Ovis aries: one gene and its partners. The protein of the gene in region 2 interacts with the protein of the main gene of each other region in a pairwise test. Links are inferred from orthologs where the notes say so. Each region holds a gene or a part of one and is shown on either strand. Other genes may lie near its edges. The genes, in order: ENKD1, MKRN3, FAM110A, POLR1C, SFN, PSMA1 and UBE2K.

Evidence for each region.
Region 1: the proteins of MKRN3 (region 2) and ENKD1 interact in binary tests that used the Homo sapiens proteins (3 or more experiments, as listed by UniProt). The two-hybrid records come from large-scale screens. The link is inferred for Ovis aries from reciprocal best matches to the Homo sapiens genes MKRN3 and ENKD1.
Region 3: the proteins of MKRN3 (region 2) and FAM110A interact in binary tests that used the Homo sapiens proteins (3 or more experiments, as listed by UniProt). The two-hybrid records come from large-scale screens. The link is inferred for Ovis aries from reciprocal best matches to the Homo sapiens genes MKRN3 and FAM110A.
Region 4: the proteins of MKRN3 (region 2) and POLR1C interact in binary tests that used the Homo sapiens proteins (3 or more experiments, as listed by UniProt). The two-hybrid records come from large-scale screens. The link is inferred for Ovis aries from reciprocal best matches to the Homo sapiens genes MKRN3 and POLR1C.
Region 5: the proteins of MKRN3 (region 2) and SFN interact in binary tests that used the Homo sapiens proteins (3 or more experiments, as listed by UniProt). The two-hybrid records come from large-scale screens. The link is inferred for Ovis aries from reciprocal best matches to the Homo sapiens genes MKRN3 and SFN.
Region 6: the proteins of MKRN3 (region 2) and PSMA1 interact in binary tests that used the Homo sapiens proteins (3 or more experiments, as listed by UniProt). The two-hybrid records come from large-scale screens. The link is inferred for Ovis aries from reciprocal best matches to the Homo sapiens genes MKRN3 and PSMA1.
Region 7: the proteins of MKRN3 (region 2) and UBE2K interact in binary tests that used the Homo sapiens proteins (3 or more experiments, as listed by UniProt). The link is inferred for Ovis aries from reciprocal best matches to the Homo sapiens genes MKRN3 and UBE2K.

What each region holds. Positions count from the first base shown.
Region 1 is NC_056067.1:34,775,470-34,779,923, forward strand, and holds the start of ENKD1 (enkurin domain-containing protein 1), read right to left. Parts: upstream 2,864-4,454; 5' UTR 2,804-2,863; exon of another isoform or gene 2,759-2,803; intron 2,578-2,758; 5' UTR 2,563-2,577; coding exon 2,478-2,562; intron 2,393-2,477; coding exon 2,192-2,392; intron 1,651-2,191; coding exon 1,478-1,650; intron 456-1,477; coding exon 330-455; intron 242-329; coding exon 78-241; intron 1-77. Other genes in the region: C14H16orf86 (uncharacterized protein C16orf86 homolog), read left to right, coding at 3,084-3,188, 3,382-3,608, 3,948-4,195, 4,297-4,454. UniProt on the Homo sapiens protein: Microtubule-binding protein which regulates microtubule organization and stability. Promotes the stability of astral microtubules and facilitates the proper orientation of the mitotic spindle.
Region 2 is NC_056071.1:523,710-527,974, reverse strand, and holds the start of MKRN3 (probable E3 ubiquitin-protein ligase makorin-3), read right to left. Parts: upstream 2,959-4,265; 5' UTR 2,957-2,958; coding exon 1,409-2,956; 3' UTR 1-1,408. UniProt on the Homo sapiens protein: E3 ubiquitin ligase catalyzing the covalent attachment of ubiquitin moieties onto substrate proteins.
Region 3 is NC_056066.1:59,933,359-59,937,606, forward strand, and holds the start of FAM110A (protein FAM110A), read right to left. Parts: upstream 2,967-4,248; 5' UTR 1-2,966.
Region 4 is NC_056073.1:17,062,295-17,066,001, reverse strand, and holds part of POLR1C (DNA-directed RNA polymerases I and III subunit RPAC1), read right to left. Parts: intron 1,877-3,707; coding exon 1,769-1,876; intron 1,557-1,768; coding exon 1,424-1,556; intron 1,138-1,423; coding exon 1,018-1,137; intron 931-1,017; coding exon 778-930; intron 626-777; coding exon 476-625; intron 407-475; exon of another isoform or gene 360-406; coding exon 243-359; exon of another isoform or gene 129-242; coding exon 10-128; 3' UTR 1-9. UniProt on the Homo sapiens protein: DNA-dependent RNA polymerase catalyzes the transcription of DNA into RNA using the four ribonucleoside triphosphates as substrates.
Region 5 is NC_056055.1:240,067,324-240,070,850, forward strand, and holds SFN (14-3-3 protein sigma), read right to left. Parts: upstream 1,827-3,527; 5' UTR 1,769-1,826; coding exon 1,022-1,768; 3' UTR 502-1,021; downstream 1-501. UniProt on the Homo sapiens protein: Adapter protein implicated in the regulation of a large spectrum of both general and specialized signaling pathways. Binds to a large number of partners, usually by recognition of a phosphoserine or phosphothreonine motif.
Region 6 is NC_056068.1:37,962,023-37,966,473, reverse strand, and holds the start of PSMA1 (proteasome subunit alpha type-1), read right to left. Parts: upstream 2,946-4,451; 5' UTR 2,887-2,945; coding exon 2,884-2,886; intron 1,289-2,883; coding exon 1,244-1,288; intron 993-1,243; coding exon 891-992; intron 772-890; coding exon 668-771; intron 1-667. UniProt on the Homo sapiens protein: Component of the 20S core proteasome complex involved in the proteolytic degradation of most intracellular proteins. This complex plays numerous essential roles within the cell by associating with different regulatory particles.
Region 7 is NC_056059.1:59,576,071-59,579,777, forward strand, and holds part of UBE2K (ubiquitin-conjugating enzyme E2 K), read left to right. Parts: intron 1-248; coding exon 249-377; intron 378-1,017; coding exon 1,018-1,092; 3' UTR 1,093-3,707. UniProt on the Homo sapiens protein: Accepts ubiquitin from the E1 complex and catalyzes its covalent attachment to other proteins. In vitro, in the presence or in the absence of BRCA1-BARD1 E3 ubiquitin-protein ligase complex, catalyzes the synthesis of 'Lys-48'-linked polyubiquitin chains.

The DNA of each region.
Region 1 (4,454 bases), on a different chromosome or scaffold from region 2:
GATGACCCTAGGCAGACGTGGGCTTCCACCCTCCATAAGTGCCCCTTCCCAGGAGTGGGGGGAGCAGTAGGACCTACTAATGGGGCACGTGACCCTTCTGCGTGGCGTTGTAGTGCTCCTGGGCTTGCCGTTGCTGCTCCAGCACCTGTGCCAGGACTTGCAGCGAGCGAGAATGCCGCCGGGGGGCCCTCTTGGCAGTGCGGGCATTGTGCATAATGAAGTCCACACCCAGACCTGGGGCCTGCGGGACATGGCCAGCATGATGAAACAGCACTGTGTGGTGCCCCGGAATCCCTGCCCCACCTCCCAGCCCCCACATATCCTCTCACCTTAGCATTGGGACCTGGTAGGGTTAGCTGGGGACTGGGGACACGGGGTGGTGGGAGCCCGGGGCCGCAACGGGAATGGGCCCGCAGAAAGTGGGCTGGCTCAGTTCTAGAGGCAGGGCCGGGCTCCTGGAGGCCAAGGCAGAGCGGGGGGTGGTCAGTCAGGCTGAAGTCAGGGTCTCAAGCTGTAAGACCATGCCTCTGTCCCTCCTGTCTTTCAGGATCTTTCTCTATCACCAGTCCTCTGGACCTGGCCTCCTTCCTCTTGAATAAGTACTTCCATCACATCAGCATTTAAACCTGTGTGTTTTTCACATCTCTCAGAAAACATATTTCCCTCCCTCTACCTCAGTCCTGGCTTCAGTCATCGTTCTCTTTTTCTCTCCTTCCTAGTCAAGCTTTCTGGCTCTGTCCCTACCAAGGCCACCAACAGCTGGTCTCCAAGCCCCCAAATCCAGGGTCACTTCCCTGGTTTCACTATCCTCAGCCTCGTCCTCAATAGCTCCTGGGTCTCACTTCTGAGATCCAGACCTGATTCTCCATCTGCCTCTTGGACACATTCCCACTCCCTGGAAGCCCCACAAAAGCTTCAGCTTCAACACACCCACATATGACCTTGTCTTTTTTTCTGTCCTACTTCTCCTTCTCAGACCCCTGGAAAGAGAAGTGGCACCACTAGCTACCCCAGATAGAATCTTACCACCATACATACCCCTGCCCTTCCCATTGTCCTTAGAAATAAAGGTTTAAAAAAATGGATTTATGTGGCCCTTTATGATGTGGGTCCAGCTGACTTCTTAGCCTAACCTCATGTTCTTCCTCCCTCATAGTGAACTGAACACAGCATCCCCACTGCCCACACTCCTAAGTCCCTGGTGTTAGGACCAGGGACCCTGGAACCACAAGGTTCCATTTCTATAAAATGTTCTCCTCTATTCTCCCCTTGCCTAATTCCGACTTGCCCCTCAGAATCACCCAGCTGTCATCACTTCAGAGAAAGGCCACAGCCCCACTCTGCAGCAGGACCAGCTCTTCATCCCCTGTGACCTCAGCCCACTGTGGGTTTCCTCCCTCCTCATAACTCAAGTCAGAGTATAATGTCCTGTTGGCCAACAAGACGGGCAACACTTGGGGCTCCCTGAGGCAGGTACCTGCAGCTGAGCCTTGACACGCGACTCCACTTTGTCATACTTGGGTGAGCGCCACAGGGCCTTCAGGGGCCTGGATTGGGCCTGCTCCTGGCTGTGCTCCTGCTCACGGAAGCGCCTCTGGATTTCCCTGATCCGCCTCATGTTCTCCTTCTCATGGTCTTTAGGGTCCTTCCCTGGAGAAAAGATGTTGCCCTACATACAGCCCATACAATCCAACTTACCCCAGTGGACACACAAGCCCACACCCTGCCTCCCTGACATACTCTAAAGTCCACCACATAACCTTGTTCTCGTCCTCACACCATAATTATCTTCTGTTTCTGATGATTTTATACATATTTGATTATGAAGTATACTAGTAATCACCTTGCATATCCTATTCACCTCTTCACTTGTTTTACTGTCTCCCACCTTGATTCAATGATGCGCTTCTTCGACCTTGTTCTCCTAGCACCCATAGGGCCTGGAGCACAGCAGACACTCAACAACCAACCATGCATAAATCCATGAAGCTGAGCTACGGGCTTTTCCGGGGTATGCCTCATTTAGTCCTCTCCTGCGAAGAAGTCGTGCATTTCCCGCTCCTTCTACAGTTGGGGAAACAGACACTCTGAGAGGTAAAGCCTGAGCCCAGAGCAGGGAAGGGGAAGCAGCCGTCTTTTTATCTGTTTTGACTTCAGAGCCGCCTCGCTGTCCGTTCTGACCAGAACTTACTCTTGGGAGAGGCCCCTGGGCCTAGGGAGATACCCCCGAGCTGCAGCAGCACACCACCCACGCCGCGACGGCCACGCTCCAGGATTTCTAGGCCTCCCGGACGGATGCGAGGGGCGCGGGGAGGGGTGGCGTCTAGGTCCGGGTCCGTATCCGTCGTCAGCAGGTCCAACTTCGGCGCGTTTCCCTCAAGGCGCCCTTGGGCTGAGAGGCCAGACGGGGCAGAGTGCGGAGTCAGTGGTGGAGCTGGGCCCGACCCTTGCCAGGCCGCTTTCACTCCCTAACTCACCCGAAGACGGCCTCCGGTAGTAGTCCGGACAGAGCGTAGGGTCTGGGGGGATGGGCCCCGAGATGCGGGACGGACCCTCACACATACCGCCGCCGCCGTCCTGCAAACGTTGCACCTGAGGCCTGCCGGGCTACGCGTCTCTGGCTCCAAACCCGGCTTCTCAGCCCAGTGCCTCCTCCCTGGCCCCGGGTCCTAACCTCAGCCGTGCCCTGCCTGCGTTCCCGGCCCCCACCCCGCCTCCCGGCCCCGGCCTGCGCTCGCCACCTCTGCTCTCAGCCCACCTCTCAGTACCGTTGGCAGGCTTCTCACTCGGGCAAGGGGCTCACCAGAGCGGTTTTGCCGCCCACTGCCGCCACCCGACGGGTTTGCTGTTGCCAGGCAACAATGGTTTCCGTCCGTGAGGTCAGGGGCCAATGGCCTTGGCGCAAAGCCTTCTGGGGCCTGTAGTTCCAGCTGAGGGGGGAGCAGAACGACTGTCAGTTGCCCTTCCCAATCCGGTCCTCTCCCGGGTCCGCTCAGGGTCTACTAGTCTGGCCCCTCAGGATCCGCCCTCCATCCCCAATGCCCCTCAAGCAACCGTCGAGGAAGTGCTGATCCGCCGCAGCTATGGACTCCGCAGGGGCTGAGAAGCGGCCAGGGGCCCAAGAAGGGGCAGCCGTGGGGCAGTCACAGCTTACAGAGATGCCTGGTGGCCATGCTCAGAATTCTGAGGTGACCATCGGGCTGTCTAACCTTCAAACACTTGGGTCATAGCGCTTTAATAGACCAAAACTGCCAGGCCAGGTTCCACAGGCTGGGAGGGGCATGGGCTGGTGCCCTTCATCCAGAGTATTTAGAGTCTAATGGCTGGTCCCTGTATCCTTTACCTGGCCATGGTGACCAGTTACCTGTGTGTCACCGCTAGTGTCCAGTGATGGGAGACCAGGGCCTGGTGCCAGCCCATGAGGCCTGCCAAACCCAGGATGAAGATAAATGTCCAATAAGATCCACCTCAGAGCCAAAGATCCAGGAGAGACTCAAGCTGGAGGAAGACAGGCACAAACCAGAGGTGGAGGCCCTGGAGGAGAGAGGTCCCAGGCCTACGGCCTCCACTGTGAGGCCCAGTCATGGTCCGAAGAGGAAGCCGGTCAAGTGAGGGGGCTTTCAGAGGGAAGAGACTGGGAACTGGGGAGGTGGTGTGGGGGTGGCTCATACCCCAGTTGGATTCTTAAATGGGGCCTTACAGTAGTGTCCATCCTTATCCCCTGACACCACCATCATTCCTCACCTCTGCTGACCCTCCAGAGCCCTGATGTAGGGAACATGCAGAGCAAAAGTCTCAAGGCCTGGTAGGGGACTGAACTCCCATGATCTCTGGGTCCCTGTCCAGTCCAGGGCCTCACTGACCAGGAAAAGGACAAGGATCACGGCCTGGGGAGGTAGGCAGGCAGGACTGTTCCCTAGGACAGGGCACAGGAGCCAAGGCTGCAGGCTGGCTCCTCAGGCCTCCTTGTTCCCCAGCCTCACAGGCCCGAGCCACCAAGCCCATCCTAGGGCAGAGAGTGAGTTGCCACAGGGGCTGTCGCTGCAGAGGGAAGAGCCGGAGAATAATCAGAATGAGCCCTCACCATCTGCCAAACAGCACAAAAAGACCAAGAAGCGCAAGAGTCTGGGAACCCCAGTGCTCCCAGTGGTGGCCAGCACGGTGTCGGCACCCTCAGTGACCTTGGGGCCTGAGCGTGAGTGGCATTTCCTGAGCCTTCCCTTTTGTCCCAGCCAGCTGGACCCAACACAGCCCAGCTTGGCACTCCAGTCATTGCCCTGCCCTGGGTTCTTGTAGGAAAGGCCCAGCGCCTGCGGCCCCTGTACCAGTACATCAACTATTGCAACCCTGAACTGAACCAGGCAGGGGAGGGGGACAGGGAGGCTGAGGCTGAGGTGGAGCCTGAGTCAGAGCTGACAGTGGTCCCCGAGGAGGCGGGTGTGGAGCAACTGCAG
Region 2 (4,265 bases):
TTAGTTTTTCATCCTTATAATGTTTCTGTATTCTTCTATTGTATGTAGTATATAGTTAAAAAATATATAGTCTCATTTTCATTTTAATTATGTCTGCTAATCTTCAGATTTTAAAATATTTCCACTTAATATAATTATGGTATATTGGCATTATTAACTTTCCAGCTTATATTTATTCAGTTTTCATTACTTTCTATATTTCATTTATTGTCTTTCCATTATTGCATTATTACTTATTTGAATATGTTTATTATTTTATTTTACTTTTTATAATCTTATCACTTTTATGCCAAAAACTTCTGTCAAAAGCCCCTTCTCTGATATGTCTATGGATGACACAAAATACTGAACACAAAGAACTGTGTATCTGAGTCAAAGACTGTGTTGTTTTAAATAATGATACAGTGGCTAAACTGCATGGGAACCCACATAGCAGCGAGCTATTAATGGCATCACAGTAATTACCAGTGTCATATTCTGTAAATTCTTTAAGATCTGTGTCTGCTACATTTAGATAGAGCCACTGAAATAGCTGTTTTCATTAGATGCTAATCACTGAAGCCTGTGAGAGGGACAGAAAAATAATTTACATACTTCACACTCACACAACAGCAATCCTATCAACCTTTCACCTTCAGCTTCCAGCTCAGTATTTATTTTATTAAATAAAGATTATATTATAGTATACACCTTAAATAAATATTTTCAAATGCATAACTTTCATACACGTTAATGTGCATGTATATATATATATATAATTCTTACATATATACTTTCAAATATAAATGATTTCACATCAAGTTGAACAGGATAAAAACACGTAAACATATGCATCTGGTTCTGGTCAAGTAAAACATAAAACCACAAGGTAACCACAAGTTAAGAGTGCATTTGAAGGGGAATGGGGGAGGGAACAGATGTGTAAACAACAGAGATACTGAAGCTGCACCATAAAGCCCCACGAGGGTCCATTTCTTAAGACTGAAGCAGCAAAAAGCTCCTGGTTCAGTTTAGACTTCTCCCTTCACCCTGTCACATTTATTCTTGAGGGGCTTCAAAATGAGTGTGGAAATTCTGTAAACACTAGACTAGAACTGAGTCAATCCTGTTAAAAACAGATGACAAAATAAACCATAAACTGACAGTCATATTAATTTCACCAAACAATAACTTTGAGGATGTTTTGTTACTTTTTAACACAGTGAAACACCATAATCCTGGGGGACCAGAAATGGGAATGGTCAAGGAAACAGATGGATGTTTCTATACAAATGCTTTCAGCAGCCCCTGGAAGTGACAGATGTGTCTATAAACAAAACACAGACAAGAGCAGATGACAGAGCCTCAGCACACCAAACAACATGCCACAGCAGAATGCCACAGATTCAAAGTGCAATATTCTTCCAGCTCACAATGAAGCAAGTCCCACCAGACCTCTGTGAAGAGGAGCACATGGCTCCTGGTGAAAACACTTACACAACAGATTGGCCAGCCAAAGCATGACAAGCTCTTTTCTACTGCTTTTAAAGGGCATGTTGCCCTCTCCCACCTGCAGAGGCTCCAAAGGTTCCCAATGGCAAGTACCAGATGCCTCAGCACCCTGCCGCTGAGGCTCCTCTCCCTGGCCCTCAGGATACACATGTTTGTAAAAACAGTTCTCTCCAAATGGGCAGACCCTGCCTCGAGCAAAATACCTGCAGGTCTTGTGACTCAAAGCCTCCAAGTACTGCTGAATAAGTTTCTGCTTCTCTTCTTCCTCCTCCACCCAGAACTCACTGGGAATGACAAAGGTGGACATGACCCTGCACTGAGGGCAGGACTTGATAACTCTGCTCCCAAATTGTCTGGCACTTCTCCACCTGCGGATACACTTAAGACAGTACGTGTGGTTGCAGCTGGAGAGGATGCCAAAGCGGCAATCATTCCGGTTGGCTTTCTCATAGACAACCTCCATGCAGATGCCACACACTTTGTCCGCACTGCGCTGCACGGCAAAAGAGAGCTCCATATTCTTTTCGTGTGCTTCAATGCAGGCCTTTACATGGTCTTCCCTCTGGGTACCATCCAAAGGGTGCAAGACCGGCAGCCCACACATATCACATATATCTCCATGGAGATAAATACAGCTCTGCCCACGAAAGCACTGCCCGGCGATGGCATCGCGGCAAAGCTGCCTCCCCATGCCCAGAACAATCTGCCCACTCTCAATCACCGAGCTCTGCAGAGGAGCCTCGGAGACAGAAGGGAACATGCGGCCCCGGTAGGGTTGCCCGGGAACAAATTCAACGGCATTCTCCCAGCCTTCTACACCTGCTCCTCCAGCAGCTTCAAGGCCTGCATTGTCTGTCTTGGCTTCAAACAAACCCCTTTGAGCAGCCGAGCCAATCACAGGCAAGGAACGTGAGGAAACAGCAGGGGGGGCTTCCGCCACTTGTTGAGGCAGGGGCTCCATGTGTGCAGCCGTGCTAGGGCCGCTGTCTGCAGAGGCCTGGGGCTGTGAGCCAGGGCCCTCCCTGGCCACCTGCCGGCCCGAAAGGTCGTGGGAGTATCGGCACTTCTCCCCCTCCTTGCACAGCCCATGCAGATAATACCTGCAGATGACTTGCTTTGTCCAGCTGCCAGTGCTCCGGCTCTGCAGCCAGCTGGGCCCGGCCCCTCCCCACGAAGCTTGGGCAGGCCTCAGACGTGATGGGCGGAACGGGGATGGGCCTGGAACCGAAGACCACCGGGAAACAGGGCGCACCGGGAGGGTGGGCCGTGGGGCACTTTCCCCTGCTGCCTCTGCACCCCTAGAGGCCCCAGCTGCCTCGTGGGGTTCTTTGGGAGCTGCAGGCTCTTCCATGGCAGCTTTTAGTCCCCAAAATGGTACCGGAACTTCCCCGGTGTGTCTTCCTTTCGGGCTTGAGGCCCGGAGGCCACGAGCCAGCTCCGGGACTCCTCCTTTGGAGCTGTGCATCTGTTTTTCCTCTCCCCCTGTCCCTGCTTCCTGTGCCTGCGTTCCTACTTCCTTCTCTGAGCAGGCGCAGCACACACTTCCTGTGGTGACAACGTCAGTCCTCCACTGGGTCGGTGCGCAGCCGGTCCGGCTGGAATTGTGACCGACATCTTCTTTTGTTCGCATTCGGCAGAGCTGCCCGGCTCGCCGCCCCTGCTCGGCTGCGTGCAGCCCCTCGTCCTCCCGCGGCTCCTCTGACGGAAGAAATCACAGCCCTTTGAGGTTTTAATGCAATCCCTTCCTGTGTTCCTTCGGACGCATTGATTTCATTGGTTTCTCATACGTGTCAATTGAAAACATAATCCTCATGCTTTTTAAAAATTTTCCACTGCGTAAAATTCATCTTGTTTCTGAACCATATCACACATGAATTTTATAAATGTGTTGTTCACTTCATTTTATGTCTATGTGGATCTGTTTTTGTTTTAATTATTTTTCGTTCTGAATACCTTAACTGTTGCTTCTGGAAGCTTTATTCATTTAGTTGTGTTGACAAGAGCTCATTTCTTCTGCTCTTTGTATTCTGGTAATTCTTACAGGCTTCGGTTGGAAAGGCTTTTCACCAGTGAGGCATGAGCAGACCTCTGGTCTGAGGCTGCTTTAGTGTCTTTCAGCCGGGTGAGGTTATTGTGGTTTCCAGGCTTTCGCTCCCTTTGTGCAGAAACCTCAGACCTTGCTGGTCCTGATGCTGGCTTAATAAGCCTCTGTCCCCGTTGTGACCCTGGCTTGCTTTTTTCCCTCCCTCTTTCTGATTTAATTCACAGTGGCTCTTTGTTTCTGTTTCTTTATTACACCCAGTTTTGTAAGGTATTGTGCTGGGCCAGCCTTTCATGGTAAATCCTCTACCCTTCTGCCCATGTGGTGGTTTTTAATTTCATCTGAGCTGTCATTTTGCACATGCATCTTATTAGATTAGTAAACAAAGTAGTTATAAATATAAAGTGTTGATGTATATTGAATTTTATCATGTAGGTTTCTGTACTTTTAAAGAGATGATCATGTTATTTTTCTCTTTTTAATTTTATTGTGATTATTTACACTGATAGATTTTTCAATGTTTAACTTACCCTTTTTCCCCCAGGAATAAAACCTTTTGTGGTATGATTATCATTTTACATAGTATTAGATTTTGTTTGCTAAAATAAGTTTCTTAGAGGAAATTTTATGTTTCAATTTTTATTTGAAAATTTGAGAAAATATGAATATAGCACAGAAATTAGATTGAAGTAAATCATAAACATGATAAATTAAAATAAAACAAATATGAAGT
Region 3 (4,248 bases), on a different chromosome or scaffold from region 2:
TAAGGAGGAAATAACAGCAGTAACTACCTTACGTCATAGAATTGACAGAATTGAAGGAGTTCACACTTGTAAATTACTTAGCACACAGTAAGGGATCAAGAGGTGTCAGTGATTTCTATTCTTTGCTGAGGGGGCAGGAGGTGTGGTTTCTGATGTTTATCATTTTTATGACATTGTGCACTTCCACCTCACCCCTCCCTTCCACCTGCTTCTCCTTTTCCTTAGCAGAAGTCCAGCCCAGACTTCGGTGGAGACAGAGAGGCCCTCTCCTGCCCCAGAGGGAGCCAGGAAGGCTCCAGGCAGCAGAAGACTCCAGGACAGCTGCCAGGGCCAGAGACACCCAGCTGGGCATCCTCCAGGCCCACGCCAGGCCCCACACTATTTCTGGAGTTTTCCCAGATGTTCGTGCCCTGGCCTGCCTGCAGTCAGCCTTGCCCAGGGCAACCTTGCACAAACCTCAGGAAGAGAAAGGTAAACAGGCCACAGAAGCGGTGTGGGTGCAGCTGCCTAAGGCAGCAATCTCCCGTTTGGCCCACCAACTGCACACCTCCACCAACTCAGTCCTCTGGGCCTCAGGTCTGCACCTGAGCTTGCCAAATGAGGACAAAGGGACTCGCAGTGCAGACTAAGAGAGATACTGCGCGCAAAGCCTTAGGGAAGGGCCTGGCACACAGGATGCGGAAGGTGGAGTTGGGACAGACCCACAACCAAGCCCACTTCCTGTCCCGGACTGCCCTCTGCCTGGGCCGAAGCGCACCATCATGGCTTCTTTTCTCGGCGCAGAGATGTCAAGAACCTTGTCCAAAGTCACAAGAAAGTTAATGACAGATCATAGACAGGGCAGTGGTCTCATGATTAGATAAACAATCTATAATACACACATATTTTTTCAACCAGGTGATACATGTGCATGGCTTAAGATTCATAAGCTGTAAAGGAAATTAAAAAAAGAAAAACACCTCCCTCCACTCCTATCCCCAGCCACCCAGTTCCCCTCCCTGCAAGAATCATTATGATCAGATGGTTATATGTCCTTCCAGGGAGATTTCAGGCACATACAAGCAACAATGGACATATATTCTATTTTTTTTACACATAGCAACATGTTCTGTGCATTGTTTTCATTTATTCTTTCATTGAATAATATATGTTCTTAATATGTTATTAGCATGTTATTAATTATAATGTTATTAACAAAATAATATATGTTGTACTACATAAAGAGCCCATCAGTCCCTACCAATGGCCACTGAGCGTGTGTCTAGTCTCTATTAAAAACCACACTGTGGGACTTCCCTGGTGGGCCAGTGGTTAAGAATCTGCCTGCCAATGCAGGGGACATGGCTTCTACCCCTGGTAGAAGATCCCACGTGCCATGGAGCAACTAGGCCACAACAAAAGAAGCCTCCAAGTTCTAGAGCCCATGATCCACAGCAAGAAAAGCCACCACAATGATAAGCCTGCAACTAGAGAAAGCCCAGGCAGCAACGAACACCCAGCCCAGCCAAAAATAAACAAATAAATAAAAGAGTTCTCAGGCAGAGCCTTAAAAAACCCAAAAACCCCACACTGTGGGCTCACTGCACCTATATCATTCTGCCCAGAAGTGGGACAGCTAGGTCAGGGGGTGCATGTGTAATTGTGACAGAGATGAGGGACTGTGATCCAGGGAGTTGATCTCCCACCAGCAGAACACACAAAAATGATCAATAAATGTTAGCATTAGTCATTTTGATTCCTAGGGCTTTGGGCACCCCTCAGTTTCACACTGGAGGCGATTACCTCATTTACCTCACCCTAACCCTTCCCTGCAACACATTCCAGTCCGGGAAGATAATAAACTCGCTAATAAGTGAAATTATAGGACATTGGATGGGGTAAATGCTACTGAGAAAAACAAAATAGACAAGGCAGAGCATATGAAGTGAGTAAATATTTGTTGAAAGAATGAAGACTTGTTTTCTTTCTGAATTTCCAGAGCTCTGCTCCCTTTAAAGCCAGGAGACTGGTTTGGAGGAGAGAGGATAAATAATTCCCCTTGAAGAGATTCTAGACTCCCAGATGCTACAATTCTGAGTGTCTAGGATTCTAAGATGGAAGCCAGACAGATTGGGAACCAGCCCCAGAGTTGCCAAGTCTGACCATGTGGTTTTGGGCAAAGGGGCTTAACTTTTTAGAACCTCAGTTTGCCCACCTACGAAAGGAAACCCATAGCAACCAGCAGGTGGGGAGGGGGTTCCCCAGGAGGTAAGGCCTGGTGTAGGTCAGATGCTCTACCAGGAGCGGTCCTGGGCCCAGGACCAAGTCCAGTGTCTCTGGTGACTAGCGTCTTTGGCTGAGGGCTGTGCCTACCCTTTTGCCCAACCCGCAGTAGATTCCCAAGAGTCCTACAGCAATTCCAGGGCCAAAGCATCTGCTCCCCACCTGGCACCTAGCTCAGAAATGTCAGTCCTGCCTGAGCCACCCGTATCTTCTCTCTGAGAGGGAGAGCTCTGTAATTCAGAGCCCTGCAAGCTGAAGGATCTCAAGTGAGCCCCAAGTCCACCCCTGGCTTTCTGGAGAAATGAAGACAGATGGTGGGGAGAAGACCCCAGGCCGACGCTGGGGAGAGGCAGCCTGGAGCGGATGCAGCCAGGGCTCTCATGCTCCTGTTGATCAGAGGCTAAGAAAGCGACCACCAGTTACCTGTCAGGGTCTCTCAAGGCAAATCTAGAACTATTATGCTAGAGACTGCGAGATGGAGCAGAAAGATCTGAATCAGATTCTCTGCCAGACTTCGTCTTTCTGAGCCTCAGCGTTCTCATCTGTGAAATGGGGTACCCTCGTAGGACTCGGAGAGAACACGCACCGCAGGGGTGAATACAGCGCCCCCTTACACCCGGGTTCGCGCCCCGGACCACCCGTGCCCTCACAAGGAGCCTCGCCTAGGCGAGTCCCGCTCCTCCAGTGTGGGTCTTGAGGAGGCTGACAGCTCGGACCCAGTCAGGCGGGGAATGGCCGCACCCAACACGGCTCGGGAGGCCCAAGCCCCACGTGAGGACCCGCGGGGGCCTCTTCGGAGCTGTGCTCCGCACCCGAGATAAGCCGGAGAACCTGACTGTCCCAAGGTCCCAGACAGAGCGAAGGTCTGGGGGCACAGAGGGGAAGCGAAAACCCCGGGGCACCGGGGGAAGGGGAAATGAGCGCGTCGCTTCACCCCCCTCCCCGACACCAGAATGGTTTGCCCCGGACATCCTGATTGGTTTCTCGCTTCCGTTCGAACTCCGCGCCGCCCGCATTGCCAGGCAACGGCTTAGCTTCGGCCTGGCGTGGGAGCGCCCTGCCTTCTCAGTCCCTCCCCGCCCTTCAGCTTCCCGGTGGTCTCAGGTTCTTTGAGCAGCCCCTTTAGCTCAAGCGGCTAATTCTTTCTCTTGTTCACCCGGGACTTAGCTGATGGACGGAGGACCCTGGTGGGCCCAAGGGGTCGCTAAGAGTCGGACACGACTGAGCGACTTCACTTTCACTTTTCACTTTCATGCATTGGAGAAGGAAATGGCAACCCACTCCAGCGTTCTTGCCTGGAGAATCCCAGGGACGGGGGAGCCTGATGGGCCGCCGTCTCTGGGGTCGCACAGAGTCGGACACGACTGAAGCGACTTAGCAGCAGCAGCAGCAGTCCTGACTTCAGCTGACAGGCTATGTGAACCAGTGCAAGCCAGTTTTCCTGTCTGTTCCTCTAACTGCTCAATGCTGAGCAAGTTAGTGTGAAGATGGGCATGCCCAGCAGTCCCGAAATTTACTAAGGATGTGAGCGAAGATTAATATGCCCTGCGTTCTTTATCATGGCAAAATAATGAAAATAACTTAAGTGCTCAGTGAAAGGAAATTGGTTATATAAATCCATCCTGCGGAAGAACTGAATTTATTGAGGTTTTTATATATACCAGAAGCTTTGCATGACAAAACTCTCATCACTGCTCATGGCATAACCCTCTGATAAGTACCTTTAAATATCCTCACTTTTTGCTGAGGAATATTATACAGTCATTAAAAATGATATGATTAAAATATATTTAGCACTAAGAAAGATTGAATTTTTCAAAAGTATGTTTCAAAGCACTATGTACAACACAAATATGCATTAAATACATAATGGTAATATCACATGTACTATATTTACGTAATGGACTTCCCAGGTGGCCCTAGTGGTAAAAAAATCTGCCTGCCAATGCAGGAGACACAGGTTTGATCCCTGGGTCAGGAAGGTCT
Region 4 (3,707 bases), on a different chromosome or scaffold from region 2:
AGCGTAGCCTTAGTCCATCTGAACCGCATCCAGTTCGTCCAGGAACCGCTGACACTTCCCCATTAGCACCTTGATGGCTTCACTCACCAGCACATCTGGTGGCAACACCCCTGTGGACTCAACAGAAACTGGGGACCAGAGAGAAACGCGCCTTAACACATACTGCTAGATTCCACGTCTGACCTCCAGCAAACTGTGGCATCAAAAAACCACCACCGTCCCACCCTCAACTTGAAACTCACAAATATAATGGTCTCGAACACGCGCAAGCCGTACAACCTTCTTTAGCTTCTCATTCCGGAAGACTTCCCTGCTAAAGGTATCTAGCCGGGGATTGGCAACTCTGGCCACCTTTTTACCTAATGAAAACAAACCATATTATAAATACATGAGCCCACAACTTGAATTTTTCTCTGCTATCTTCAAAGGAAATATGCTTTAGGGCCGGGCTTACACACCATCCCAAATCCCATACCTTGGATTTCCTGCACCTCAATAACACCAGGTGAGAAGCAACGGCTCAGCTCTTCTGCCGCCTCCCCTTCCACAGGCTCCAGCAGGGTGATATCTGGCAGGAGCCTGTAACTGGCTGTTGCCACAGGTGAAAACTTGGCATGATCTTTGCCTGGAGGAAAGAGGGCACTCAGAGCCTGGGAGGAGACCCTTCTTCACATTCCCTAAGCTACTGAATGAAGGGCCAGTGGCTTTCTGCCTGTTGGGAGTATCTCAGCTGAGTTCCTGTCATGTCTCACTGACAGTGTAGTCAAAAGGTCTCACCGATGCCCTTGACGCAGTGCATGAGCAGGTCAATCTCCTGGCCAGGCCGCAGCTGCGCAATGAGGATGTCGTCGTGCACTGGGCGGATGGCGCCCTCTGGGAAGAGGTCGGCCTGGTTCCCCAGGGGTACCCACGTCATGTGCCTGGTGTACACTGCGGGGGGAGCACATCACACCCAAGTCCCTGAAATGCGCCCACCAGGGAATGAGCTCCCCTCCCCCCACAGCCCCCGGCGCGCACCTCTGTGGTTAACATAGAGCTCATTGGGGTCAGAGGAGTCTTTAGCAGCGTGGGGGTTCCGCGTGCACCTGACCTGCAGCCGGAACTGCAGGGTGTCGATCTCTGTGCCGCCTTCGTCTCCTGCACAAAGGGGGAAGGTGGGGCGCTCACAGCACTGACGGAGACATCAGCACCAGGCACCACGCCGCCCGCCTGGCACATTTCTCTCATTCTCTTGGCAAACACAGGAAGGGCGAGGGTAAGTGTTCTCACAGAGAAGAGCACAGATGCACCCCAAGATGGGTCATGGGCCCAGGGTCCCAAGGTAAATAATAGAGGATTCGAACACAGGCAGTCTGATTCCAGAACCCCTTTCAGAGGAGGACGGCCCCCCTTTTCCCAAAATGTCATTTTCTCAAACCCTCACCTTGGTTCCGATATTCAAAAAGACGGGGGTCGGCATGAATGGGGATGAGGCCCAGGCGGTGGGCGAGGATCTCATCCTGGACGATGGACGTGTTGTTGTACACCAGGACCTTCTCCACAGCCATGGTCGGCACCTGCCCAAGGAGAGAGACCCTGCAGTGCCCCCAGCAACTCCCCCGTGTCCAGATACAGGGAGACCGAGACCTCACTCTAGGAGACTTAATGAAAAGTTTACAAAGAATGAGCAGGAGGAATGCTCGGCAACACTGCAAGAACACCACTTGAGACAATTCCCCAAGTGAGGTCCCCCCCACAACCCCACCTTTGCCACCGTGCCCACCGATACCTCAGCTAACAGAATGCGCCGAAACGCATTGGCAATGGCTGCGTCGATTCCCACCATGTCAAACTCCAATGAGTTTTCATCCATGTGTACCACATCCACACGGAAATTCTAAAGGGATAGGAGAGACACTAAATGAAGCCTGTTTCTGTATATGCAATACCTCCCCACCTGACATTCCCCTCAAAAACCTCCCTTTGCCCAGATGTCCCTCATTAGACCTTACTTTCTCCCCCAATCCTTCATTTGATTTTGGAAAAGCCTTCATTTTTATCTTCCATTCATTTAAAACCCTCTGCAGGGACTTTCCTGGTGGTCCAGTGGTTAATGCAGGAGGGACACGGGTTCGACTCCTGGTCCAGGAATATCCCACGCACCATGGAGCAACTAAGCCCATGAACCACAACTACTGAGCCAGCACCACAGGAGCCCATGCCCCACAGGAAGCAGGCCCCGCAGTAAGAAGCCACTCACTGCACCTAGAGAAAGCCCGGCCCATTAAAGACCAAGCACAACCAGAAATGAAATTTTCTTACAAATTCCTCAAAAAGTAAAAAAACCTTCTGCAATATGGCTTCCAGCCACATTCACAGAGGCTATGTTACTAAGAACAGGCTCACATACTGCTCACCCAGTTGACACTGCTCAACTTTTATCTTACTATACACCTCTGCTACACCTGGGACTGTTGAGAGAAGCCTGTTTCCAAACTCGGCTGCCTTGATTTCAGAGCATCAATCTCCTCCTCCTGGTCTGATCAATCCTTCTAAATCCACAGTCTTCTACCTACTATATAAATGTTACTGTTTCCCAAGTTTTTGTCTCTCTCCAGCGTGACCTCACAGAGAAGGCAATGGCACCGCACTCCAGTACTCTTGCCTAGAAAATCCCATGGACGGAGCCTGGTGGGCTGCAGTCCACGGGGTCTCGAAGAGTCCATCTCGACTGAGCGACTTCACTTCCATGCACTGGAGAAGGAAACGGCAACCCACTCCAGTGTTCTTGCCTTGAGAATCCCAGGGACGGAGGAGCCTGGTGGGCTACCGTCTATTTGGTCACACAGAGTCAGACATGACTGAAGTGACTTAGCAGTAGCAGCAGGGTGACCTCAACCCTGCTCATGATTTCAGCGATAATCTGTATGAACAACTCATATATATATATAAAATCAGTTTGCTGGACTTCACTCACAGGAAACTGAATGCCCCAACAGTCCCCTTCCCCAGACTGATTTCTTATCGCTAAATGACCACCACCCATCAGAGCAGTAATTTTACACTCCCCCCTACAGCCCATATCCAAGCAACCGCCAAATTTACCTTTCGTCTCCCCTGTGCTCTATTTCATCATCACACTCTTCATTTCTGCCTTCAGCCTCAACTTCCCTATGCAACTGTCACAAACTGTGCACACCCCACAGGACAAGCCTCAAATCCTCTACCTCTAAGCTTGCAGATATGATCCTACTTGCTTAAGAACTCTTCCAGAGCTCCCTATCACCTCTGGTGCCTAAAATGCACTTCAATCTTGCCTACCACTGAGCTGCTTACACACTCCTCAGCCTCTGCTCCTTGTTCAAGGCCGAACTTAGATGTCACCTCCTTCAGGAAATCTTCCATACCTCTGCTCCCCATTCCCATTCTGGATTAAGTGTCTGTGTGGGATACCCCCCAAAAAAATCCCGACCTCCACCCTACCGCCATCATCTTTTTTTACTTTCAGCTGCCTTTGCCACATTACACTGGAGTCATTTGTTTATGTTGGCCTCATCATACACAGACATTAGGCAAAAGGCAAAGCCACCTCTCCTTGTTTTGCACTGAATGAGATGAAGCATGGAGAAGTGGCATCAGGAATAGGAATTAAACCTTGATTAAACTTTGTGACACCTATATCGGAAACCCTGACTAGTAACCCAACAGAGCTTGGCCAAGCATGCGCA
Region 5 (3,527 bases), on a different chromosome or scaffold from region 2:
AAGTTGCACTTCTTCGTCAACGGCCTGTTTTATTTTGTCCCCATCTCCGAACATTGGAAGGCGGTCTTCTCCTCAGACCTGAGCTTTTAATGGCGGCGTCATACCCGCCCCCTGGTGATACTTCCCTCCGCTCAGATCTGATGGGACTGTTCCCCGCTTTCAGGTCTGAGGTGCTCAGTGCCGCTCACTGCGGCGTACCCCTCCGACCTCACCCCGGAGACTGTCCCCTCACACCTGAGCGCTTCAGCCTCCCACCCCACGTTCCTGGCAGAGGAGTCTCCAAGCCGCCTTGGCGCTGCTCACCCGACCCTCCCGGGATAGGACCAGTTTGAGGGGACTAGACCAGACCCTGATGGAGAGGGCTGGATCCCCAGCCTCTCTCCTGGCTCCAGAGTCTTGCCTGCGAGTCACTGAGCCAGCCCCAAGGAGGTCAGGGTCTCTGTAACTCACACACCAATCCCTGTCCCGCCCTTCCGCAATAACTGAAAAAGACAGGCGGAGTGTCACAGGGCAACTTTATTGAGAGGAAACATGGTCACACCCAGCAGACATGCTCTCCCTCTCATCCTGGGTCCTGGTTGCTGCACAACACACACACACACACACAGGCGCACACACACACCTTCATCACCAACCTCTGCCACACAGTTCGGTTTTCAGCTCTAAGGATGGGACACTCCTCAATTCCTAAGATCCATAGGTAGCAGGGGCGGGAGGGGGTTGGAGTGGGGAGGAAGTGGTCAGGGTGGGGGGGGGGGTGTCTGGGACGGGGGGCGGGGGTGGAGACAGAGCAGGGCTGGATGATGACCAGTGGCCAGGAGCCCCTGACAGCTGCAGGAAGTATGGAATCCTCTGGCTCCAGGGGGACTCGGCTCTGCTTGTTCCTCTCTATGGAGCCTTTCTGAGCTGGGCCAGAGCGTTTGGGGAGAAGGGTCGGACCTCCCACCCCATACAAGTCCTCTCTGCCGGGAGTGGGGGACTGGAGCGGGCAGGGTAGGGCAGGGCGTGCAGCGGGTGCGGCTCAGCTCTGGGGCTCCTCGGGAGCCTCGCCCCCTTCTTCCCCAGCGTTGTCGGCCGTCCACAGCGTCAGGTTGTCTCGCAACAGCTGCATGATGAGGGTGCTGTCTTTGTAGGAGTCCTCGCTGAGGGTGTGCAGGTCGGCCATGGCCTCGTCGAAGGTGGTCTTGGCCAGAGAGATGGCCTCCTCGGGGCTGTTGGCGATCTCATAGTGGAAGACGGAAAAGTTCAGGGCCAGGCCCAGGCGGATGGGGTTGGTGGGCGGCATCTCCTTCTTGCTGATGTCCATGGCCTCCTGGTAGGCCGACCGGGCTGAGTCGATGATGCGCTTCTTGTCGTCGCCAGTGGCCACTTCGGCCAGGTAGCGGTAGTAGTCGCCCTTCATTTTCAGGTAGAAGACCCGACTTTCGGCGTCACCGGCCTCCTTGATGAGGTGGGTGTCCAGCAAGCCCAGCACTGTGTCGCACACGCCCCGGAGCTCCGTCTCCACCTTCTCTCGGTACTCTTGCACCTCCGGGCCCTTCTCTTCCGAGCTTTCTTCATTGCTCTTTTGCTCGATACTGGACAGGACCCTCCACGCCGCCCGCTGGCCACCCACCACGTTCTTGTAGGCCACTGAAAGCAGGTTGCGCTCTTCGCAGGATAGCTCCTCGCCCTTTTCCACAGCGCTCTTCATGAAAGCTGCCATGTCTTCATAGCGTTCGGCCTGCTCGGCTAACTTGGCCTTCTGGATCAGACTGGCTCTCTCCATGGCTCTGGGGACAGGCAGACAGGCGGGCGGCGGGCTAACTGGCTGCCTCGGAACCAAGGCCGGGTTCTGTGCCTCTCCTGCTCTCTGCCCGCCTTTTGGCTGGAAGGCCAGGCCCAGAGAAGGGTGGGAGGGGCAGAGGGCGGGGCTAGGGCCCCGGACCTGCCTCCCTCTCCTCTTCGCCCCCACACCCTTTCCGCTCTTCCTTAAAGGTAAAAGGGCTTGGATGGCGGGTAGGGAGGCGGGGGCCGGGGGTGAGTCATCCGGACTGTCAGCGGGAGAGATTTGGGCGTTGGCCTCACCTGCACCGACACCTTTCCAGGCCCCAGGCTGCCCGCTCTGGTTCAGGGCTTCTATTACATGCCTACCGTAGGTAGCTGTCCCAGTTGCTGAAATCAGATCCTCCTTCACCGTGTTCTTACACGGGTTGAGGATGGCTTCAGCTACCTGGCCGCTATGGGCCTAGGCAGAGCCCATAAAGCCAGGTGCAGGAGGATGCGGTTCCCAGTCCTGCCAGGTGTGTTTCCCATATTGGTTCAGGAGGGATAACTCTTTGTTTAGGTAGGGCGGTAGCTAGCTTCCCAAGCGCCTTCATACCCATGATCTAACTTAATCTAACCTGCTCTGTCTGTGTGAAATGGGCAAGTCTGTGACACTACTCCCACTGTAGAGGCGGGACCGCTTTAAGGCTCAGAGAAAGATGAGAGTTGCTCACAGTCACACAGCTACTAAATTTGGCTTTGCTCCCATCAAGTCTTTTGACTTGTGAGCTCCAGACTATTTAAAAGTGACATGCAGGCTTCTTCCAGAGTCTACCTGAAATGGTTCTACCCACCACCCCTCACTCCTCCTCAGGATCCTGTCCCCTCTGAGCTCCCAGAATGCAAAAGTGGCAGCTTTCAGAGTGCCACTTAATGAGGTGTTTAACGAGCGGCCTCTGACGCTCTGGCCTAGCCTTTGTAATTAGTCACCCAGTAGGTTTTTTGGATACCTTCCCCATCACAGCACAATTTTCCCTTTCAAGTTGGTGGCCTGTTGCCACTTGTCTGAGGACTTGCCCTCTGGCTGTCCACACCAGGTCACCTGCCCCCCCTGTCTGCCATCATGTGTCAGTGGGGCGCACAGAGGGTGGGGACCCAGCTCACTGGCTGTTCCACTTTCCTGCCTAACTCAGCCCCGCCCTCTGTCAGAGGCAGGGATGCCCGCCACCTGGGTACCCTGCCCAGCTGGGTACCAGGAGGGGGGGAAACGCTAGCAACTGGGGAGAAAAGACAGGACCAAGGCGATGGAGGCGGCTGTGATGCATGTCGTTTCGTTTTATGGGGCAGCAGTCCCAGCTGAGCGCTGCCTTCCTCTTCCCCCCAGCTGAATGAGCCTGCCTCTCAGAAGTTTCCCTGCCCTTCCCTCTGACCACGGCCCCACTTCTGATTCCTGGCAGAAGCTTCAGAGATGGAGACTTCTCTGTTGCCAATCTTTTGTCCCTGTTCACTGAGACCCTGTCTCTATGTCAGTTGAAATTTTCACCCAAAGGTGTTGGCATTGCACCTAGGAGGGTGGGTTCCTGCTTGTCTACTCTACCTCTAGCCAAAGCTCAGATGGGGCTCGGGGTGGGGCTCCTCTCTCTGGGATCCAGCCAGTTTAATGCTTGAACCAGAACTATTTCACAAGCCTGTCCCTCCTCAGTTCCTCTTGGTGTCTGAACACCCACCCTCTCCTCCTGGAGGGAGGCTTAGGCCAGAACTCTGAGGCCCAGAGATGAGAT
Region 6 (4,451 bases), on a different chromosome or scaffold from region 2:
TAACCTTGGAAAAAAAATACTAAAAAAATTCAGAGTTTGAGTAACTAGAGCAACATCAGATTGAGTGTTAAAAGTGGGAATTAAAGACTGTGTGATCCCAAAGCCCCAGCTCTTCATCTGCAATATGCCTCTCAACTGGAAATAATCTTTATCCCCCACCCCCTCCAAAGAAATATACCTGTTGCTCTCCACTTTCTACCTTGTATTGCAGATATTCTACTAGATTTTAAGCTCCTAGAAGATGAGATCTGTCTGATTCACCTTTGTATACTCTTTGTATCCAGTATTGAGCTTTGCAAAAAATAAATGTCAAATGAATACTGGTATATTAAAGACAGCAAAGGTGGTTCAGCTGATCCTTCAGAAACCTGGTGTCAAGCTCTTCCCAGATCTAACATCAAACTATATATACTGAGTTAACAAGTAATACATTATTCAATGACTTCTAAAAAGCATTAATGTTAATGTGGTTAATCCTATTAATTACTGCTACAGTGATCAAGAAATGGAATACTTAGTAACTGAGCCCAAATACATTAAGGTATTAATAATCTTAACTTATAAACACTCTAGCAGACAACTTCCTAAAATATCCGGATTGTTTCTAGATATGTAATCAATTATGAATCAAAAGGGATATTTCTTTTGTTTTCCAGGTCATACTCACCATAACAGTCGAGCATCAGCAGTAAGTCCCGCAATTGAGATACCAATATGGTTATCAACATGGAGAATTTTTTTCTGATGAGCCGCAAGTTCTGACTGTGCTCTCTAAATAGAAACATCATTTAAGACAAAAGAGTAAGTTTATAATTTTATTATTTATATAGTGAAACTAACATTTTACAGTGTTTTCTAAAGGAGGAAGATATATTTATTGCTTTACTTACCTTCAATGCAACCAACACTGCATGAGTTTTTGATTTCAGACCAACTGTGGCTGAACCTTGTTTGACAGCTTCCATTGCATATTCAATTTGATGAATTCTGCCCTAAAATGAAAAAAAAAAAAAAACCCAACACACCTTAGTCATTACAAGACCCTTTTATATATTTAACATAATTTAGCAATCCCAAATCTCAAGTGGGCATAGTTACATCTCAAATGCTGTTTCTTAAAACTAGAAGACTGACTTTAATGATAAACTTAGGTTTCAGGAACGTATAAAATGATTATATTCCATTTTCTCACTTCCTACAATCCCATAAGCTTCTAAACACATTGCAGTAACCAAAAGTTTACCTGAGGGCTCCAAACAGTGACATCATTGTCATACTGGTTGCGAAACTGAAAGTAAATGAAAAAAGACCTATTAACACAAGAACATTACAAATTCAAAATCTTCACAAGCTCTATCATTAAAAAATGTTCTCCCATCTCTCTCCATCCAGCATTAAGGAAAAGCTGCTATTGCAGTCTCATTGGAAGATTACTACTGTAATCAGCTGCAAGTCAATTTTACATTTATAAGGAGATGGGGGGGGGCGGATCTAAATGGTACATAGCTTCCCAATCAGTCTAGCAGTTCTAACACTGTTCATAGTACTTGGTTTGGGTTTAGTCAATTACTAAAGTTCCTATATGTCCACTTTCCTTTCTATCTTTGCTAATATTCTTCCCTTTTTTCAGACCCTAATAAATGGTCAAAAACATTACTACCTTTTCTTAAGTCAGCTCAAATGTCTATCTCTTGAAATCTTCTCCATCTTTTCTCCCCAAATCTCAAAACATATTCCCACCAGTTCTTTATCTACACTTACTTTTCTGCCTCATACTACGATTTGGGATATGTCTGATTTATCCTTGAACCTTCACTGCCCTTAAAACATTCATATTGAACGTGCCTTTCATTCATTCATACTGAATGAGAACACAAGAATGTCCCCAGGAAGTCATAAGTGGACACAAACTGCCATAAAAACAGACCCATTACAGCTTTAAAGACGGTATTAAGTCCACCAGCACAGTGCTTGGGAGACTAATCATGGGGGTGAGAAGGTTGAGCGCTGGAATGGCAGGCACTGGCCTGGAATCCCTGAGCTCTATACTATAACCCTGATTTCATCACTAATATCAGCTTCGGTTCACTCATTTGTCGGAGAAGGCAATGGCACCCCACTCCAGTACTCTTGCCTGGAAAATCCCATGGACGGAGGAGCCTGGCAGGCTGCGGTCCATGGGGTCGCTAAGAGTCGATACGACTGAGCGACTTCACTTTCACTTTTCACTTTCATGCATTGGAGAAGGAAATGGCAACCCACTCCAGTGTTCTTGCCTGGAGAATCCCAGGGACGGGGGAGCCTGGTGGGCTGCCGTCTATGGGGTCGCACAGAGTCGGACACGACTGAACCGACTTAGCAGCAGCAACAGCAGACAAAGTGATTGAAAAGGGCTTTTTCTGACAGAGCTCTAAGAAAAAGACTGCAGAGGGACCCGCCAAGAAAATGAACGCGGTCCAGGCAGCAACCCAAACCCTGGAATCAAGTCCGCACTTGGCAGTACAAGGAGGTCTGAAGTTAAGTCCCTATTTTTCCTTTCTGCCACACAGAGCACTAGGGCCCTCTCTGGACCGCTCGGAATTTACTCGACTGAAGGAATCTGAGGAGCGAAATCGGCTGGTAGACCGAGAAGATACTGTTCAAGACCCCGTGGAAAGCGAAACAAACCCCAGGGAAAGGTCGCAGCGGCAGCACAGACTACCGACCTCCACTCTCCCGGCCAGGCCGGAGATGCTGAATCACCGCCTGAACCATCCCGTCGGCAACGGTTCCTAAGTCCCATGGCCCCGGGCCGCTCTAAGGAAGGCATGAGAAGAAGCTCCCCCTACCCCCCAGCCAGCGGACCTCTTCCCCAACCCTGCCTAATCTCGGAATCCAACGCACCATGGTTCCGGCGCGAGCCTGGCTTCGGCCTCCTGCAAACCAGCGGATGGAACAGCACTGCCGAAACTTCCGCTCGGCGATCTACAGAGAAGACTGCGGACTTTGACGGCGGCGGCGCAGGGTAGAATAGTTTATTCCAGAGATATCGATAGGCTTCCCTTGCTTCCCCGCCCTCAAAGCTCTCAGGCGGCTCAGAAGTGGGAGGGGCCTGGGAAGCTAGAGGAACTGAGATTGGCTGGAAACCTTGGCCAGGAGTGCCCGCGGGAACTAGGAGCTGCTGGGCTGCCGCTACCAAGTACCCCTTCTTGGGTTCTTGGTGAAGTTACCTCCGTGTTGCTGACTCCTGTCAGTTTCTCACCGGCCTGACCGGATGCACCAGAGACTACAGGTGATCGAGTGTGTGGCTCAGTCTCCCCTTAAACGATATATGAGGTGTTGGGTAATATGAGAAGAACGATACTGAAAGAAAGGCCACAAATAATGGTCCGTTTTTGTGCCAACCATCCTCTCTCTCTATCTTGTCTGTGAACATGCTTTTCTTTCTACTTTGGAATCCTTTCTCCTACTCCTTGGAGAACTCATCTTTCAAGGATTTGTTATCATCAGTCTTTTTAACATTATTATTGGTTTTACCCCAAGAGACTTTGCTCTCTGAGGGCGCCAGTGTCTTTCTGTACCTTCAAAACCAAGCACGATGCTGAAAGATTAGGCAACTAAGGAAAAAGGTAGACATTTTCTTCCAAGACACATATTTTCTCTTTTGTGAGCAATTTTTAGTAAATCCTCGAATGAAATAGTTTAGGACAGTTGTGCAATCAGCTGCCAACCTAACATTTACCGACTGCCAACGATGAAGTGAAGTGAAGTCGCTCAGTCGTGTTCTACTCTTTGCGACCCCATGAACTATACAGTCCATGGGATTCTCTAGGCCAGAATACTGGAGTGGGTAGCCTTTCCCTTCTCCAGGGGATCGTTTCAACCCAGGGATCGAAACCAGGTCTCCTGCATTGCAGGCGGATTCTTTACCAACTGAACCACAAAGGATGGTATTTTCTTTATAAAAAAGAAAGGATGGATACCTAGAGTCATATAACGGAAGAGTTGAGAGGGTCCTTAAGTATCTAAGCTTTGCAGGTGAAGAAGAGACTCAGCTCACTTAAGTGATTTGCTCAAGTTCCCAGCAATTTAGTATCAGACTCTTTTTTTAAACCTTGTCTCATATATTTTGGACATTTCTTCATGTTAAACATTTTCTAGGTTAAACATGACTCCCTAGTATTATGCACTGGATATTTTATTTACCCAAATTCCTAGTCTTTAATATTTAGGTTACCCCTCTCCCAGGCAGCTTATTTATGACATATCTTTTGTATACACATCTGCACTCCTTTTTTTAGAATAAATTCCTGAAAATGGAATTGTAGGGTCAAATGAAATGGATATTTCTAAGGCTTTTATAAAAAGTACTAAATTGCTCTGGAGAAATGTTTTACCAAAATGTATTCTCAACCCTTGTCTATGAGTGATCCCTTTCTTAAATTCACCAATATTGCTTGTTGTCATTTTTC
Region 7 (3,707 bases), on a different chromosome or scaffold from region 2:
TGGAGATTAAAGTTGATAAATATTTATCTTTGTTTTTCTTTCATCAGTGCAACTTGTGAATTGCAAGTTCACATTAAACAGTCTTTCCTTCAGTGACATAGTTTGCTGTGGAAAGTGAATCAGTCACATTTAAAAAATCTAATCTATATTTATTTAGAAAAATCAGGTTTTTAGGCAATTAAGAGATGAGTTCCTATTTTGAATACTATAACTGCATTGTCATATCAAACAATTTTTCCTCCATATAGTACAAACAAAATCCTGAAATGTTCAAACAGACAGCTCGACTTTGGGCACATGTGTATGCTGGAGCACCAGTTTCTAGTCCAGAGTACACCAAAAAAATAGAAAACCTATGTGCTATGGGCTTTGATAGGGTAAGTACATACAGGCATGTTGATTTTTATTTATTTGTTAAATTATTGTTGCAAATCCTTGGCTGACAAAAGTGGTTCAGTGGTACTCTGAATCTAATTTTGATAAGCAAACTTTGTTATTAAAACTAGTAATTTTTTTTTTTAAACTTTGGCTGGTTCCAGTCATTGATTTTTTATTTTAAAAAATAATTTTATTTGCTTATTTTTGGCTGTGCTGGGTCTCCACTGTTGCTTGGGCTTTTGCTCTAGTTATGGCGAGCTGGGGCCACTCCCTAGTTGTGGCATGCGGGCTGCTTATTGTGATGGCTTCTCTTGTTGCGGCACATGTCGTTGTGACTCCTGAGTTCTAGAGCACAGGTTCAGTAATGGTGGCACGTGGGCTCAATTGCTTCACTGCATGTGGGATCTTCCCCGACCAGGAATCAAACCTGTGTCTTCTGCATTGGCAGGCGGATTCTTTACTTCTGAGCCACCAAAGAAGCTCTAGCCATTGGTTTTAGAGTTTTTAATGCACTACAAGTGCAGGGTAACTTAAAAATGAAAAAACAAGGTGTGGTTTCTTTAATATAAAGACTGAGTGATACCGTATTTTTAAAATATTTCCTTGAGACTTTATTTTGTCCCCTTTTCTTTTCTACAGAATGCGGTAATAGTGGCCTTGTCTTCAAAATCATGGGATGTAGAGACTGCAACAGAATTGCTTCTGAGTAACTGAAACATAAAGAGAGATGCTGATATAGTCAAGCTTGCCCCTTCTTGGAGGAGCATCAACATCTGTTATTTTTAGGATTCTGCATAGATTTCTTTTAAACTGGCATTCTTGCCTAATGATGTTATCTAGGCACCATTGGAGACTGAAAAAAATCCCTGCTCTGTAAATAAAGCTAATTAAACGTCTGTGTAAATTTAAAAAGGGGAAATACTTTAATTTTTTTCTTACTTAATAGTGTAAAAATTCTTTTGAGCTAAGCTAAAACCATGGAAAAAACATGCTACTTTAGTGTTTAGCAGTATACCAAGACTAGCAAGAGTTTGCTTCAGGATTTCGTTGAATAATTAAGATAATATTTTGAGTGTGTCAGGGCCATTCAAATTGTTGGTGTTGCATCACAGCTACCTTAACTGTTTTTAACATGGATCCTCTGTGCCTGTGAATTTACTTGCATGCTTGTACTTGACTTCTTAGGATGGGTAGCTGAAAAGACCACCATTTTAAGCATTTGAGAATTCTTCAATATGAGATTTATCCAGAAATGAAGATGGTGACCTAGTCAGAGCCTTTTTGTCCTTGTCAACAGACTGGGACAACATATCTGTTTTTCCCCTCTTTCCACACACAGCTAATATTCTAATAATAAATTTCTTTATATTTGGTGGGGAAATGTGCTGAAGGACAGTATCCCTTGCTCCATTTTAGGTCATCCATTTGGAATGTTTTGTCACAATTCTCCACTCTTAAAACTTTCCTATATAAATACTGTAAAAATGGAGCTGCCAATTTTCTTTTTTTTTTTTTTTTTGTAAAAACAGTAAATACTTGATGTTGCAGTATTCCCAGATTAAATGAAAAGAACCCAGCTTAATTTTTCAGTGAGTTTAACGTCTTTTGATTTTTAAACTGATGGACTTTTTCTTTGAGAACTTGCAAGGATGAAATCAACTGTTTGCAGGTTTTTTAGCCTGATTTTGGCTTTATAGAGATTGCTTGCACTTCCCCCTATTAACACATGAAAGCTGTGTTGGTGTTTTACTGTACATACTTCAGATGCACATAGGAATAGAAGTGTGTTATAAATCTAGCTTTCTTTATGATGTTTCTGATAATATGAGAATTGAAAACTTTACCTTCTCTTGTACATAGTCAGACTTTCTATACGTATTAAAGTTAAACTTCACTCCAAGTTTAAAGTTTGAAAATTATTAGTTTTGCAAGCTCTAACACTAATGTGAACATTTTATGAAGGGTGAAATGGATTTGTGTAGGCAGTTCTATACATAGAAACACAGTTCTTATTAAATATTCAGGACCAATGCAAAAATAACAAAAATGTAATGAAATCTGAATGAATTAAAGTAAGGCTGTATATGGAAAGTCATATTATAAAAGGTTTTTGCTTTCTTCAAGTGTTATTTATCCTAAATTATAATGGTTAAGTGTTTGGAAAATAGTTTTGAACAGTAAATTCAGCATAATTTCATTTGACTTCTCAATAATCTTAGAAGCAATAAAAAGAACCATTATTAAATATATTGTAATGTTAAGATGTGAAGGTTCTTCCAGAAACATAAGGTTTTCCTAATTAGTAGTAAAACTCTTGTAGTTGATTTTATTGCATACTAAACACAAGTTGCTGTTTTTTCCCCTTTGTTTGCCTAAGTATAAATTTCTTTATACAATCACCTTCTTTAATTGTAATTTAGTTACTTTCTAAAGATGCCAAAGGAAACAAGATTTTCTTTATTTATTTTAAATAGCTAAAACCATGTACTTTTCTTTATATTTTGAGGTAAGGTTGGAATTGTGTGAAAATGTGGACAGTTTTTGTTCCATTGTTGTTTAGAATTATTTTTTTTTTTTTGTTTAGTGGAGGGTGGCTTGGTAATGTTAGTAATATTTGCATTATTTTAAATATCAAACACCTCTACCCAGTTTACTATTTGCCTGTATTATCAGGGTATATTTAATTGTCCTGTGGTTTGACAAATGAGAGAGAGAACTCAGAAGTTACTAAGGATCAAGCATTGTATACTTTGCTCTTGGCGGCAGCTGTAACTTGCCTATGACTTTTATGCACATTAGTCCCTTAGGGTATACTCATCTAACTGCAATTCAACATCCCCAGTGTCCAGGAAATGGAAAACTACAATATTTGGTATGAGAGGTTCTCCATAATGGATCTTCATTTCAAAAATTTACCTCATTTACATTTAATGTGATTATCTGTTTTCTGGTACATTTCCCACTATCGCCTTCTTACGGGGTTTTTGTTTTTTTTCCTATTTTCTCCTATTTTCTACAGATAGATTTATTTCCCCAAACATAAAAATAAAGGCAGTTGCTTTTTTCTCCTGTCTTATATATGTTTAGAAAAAGAATAGTAAAAGTGCAGGTCTAGGGAAAGTATATCCTGTTGGAAATTATTTTTATAATCCTCAGTGGTTTGTGATTTGTTAGTTGTAAAGGCTTCAAAAATTATAGTTAAATGTATGTGTAGTTTTATCCCATCTGGGCAGACAGTTTGCTGCAAGTCACTGATACTCAAATAGTCTTCTGTGATGATCAGGTCTATTTCCTGAGTGTGTGTCTGACTTTTAAAAGAACAAATAATT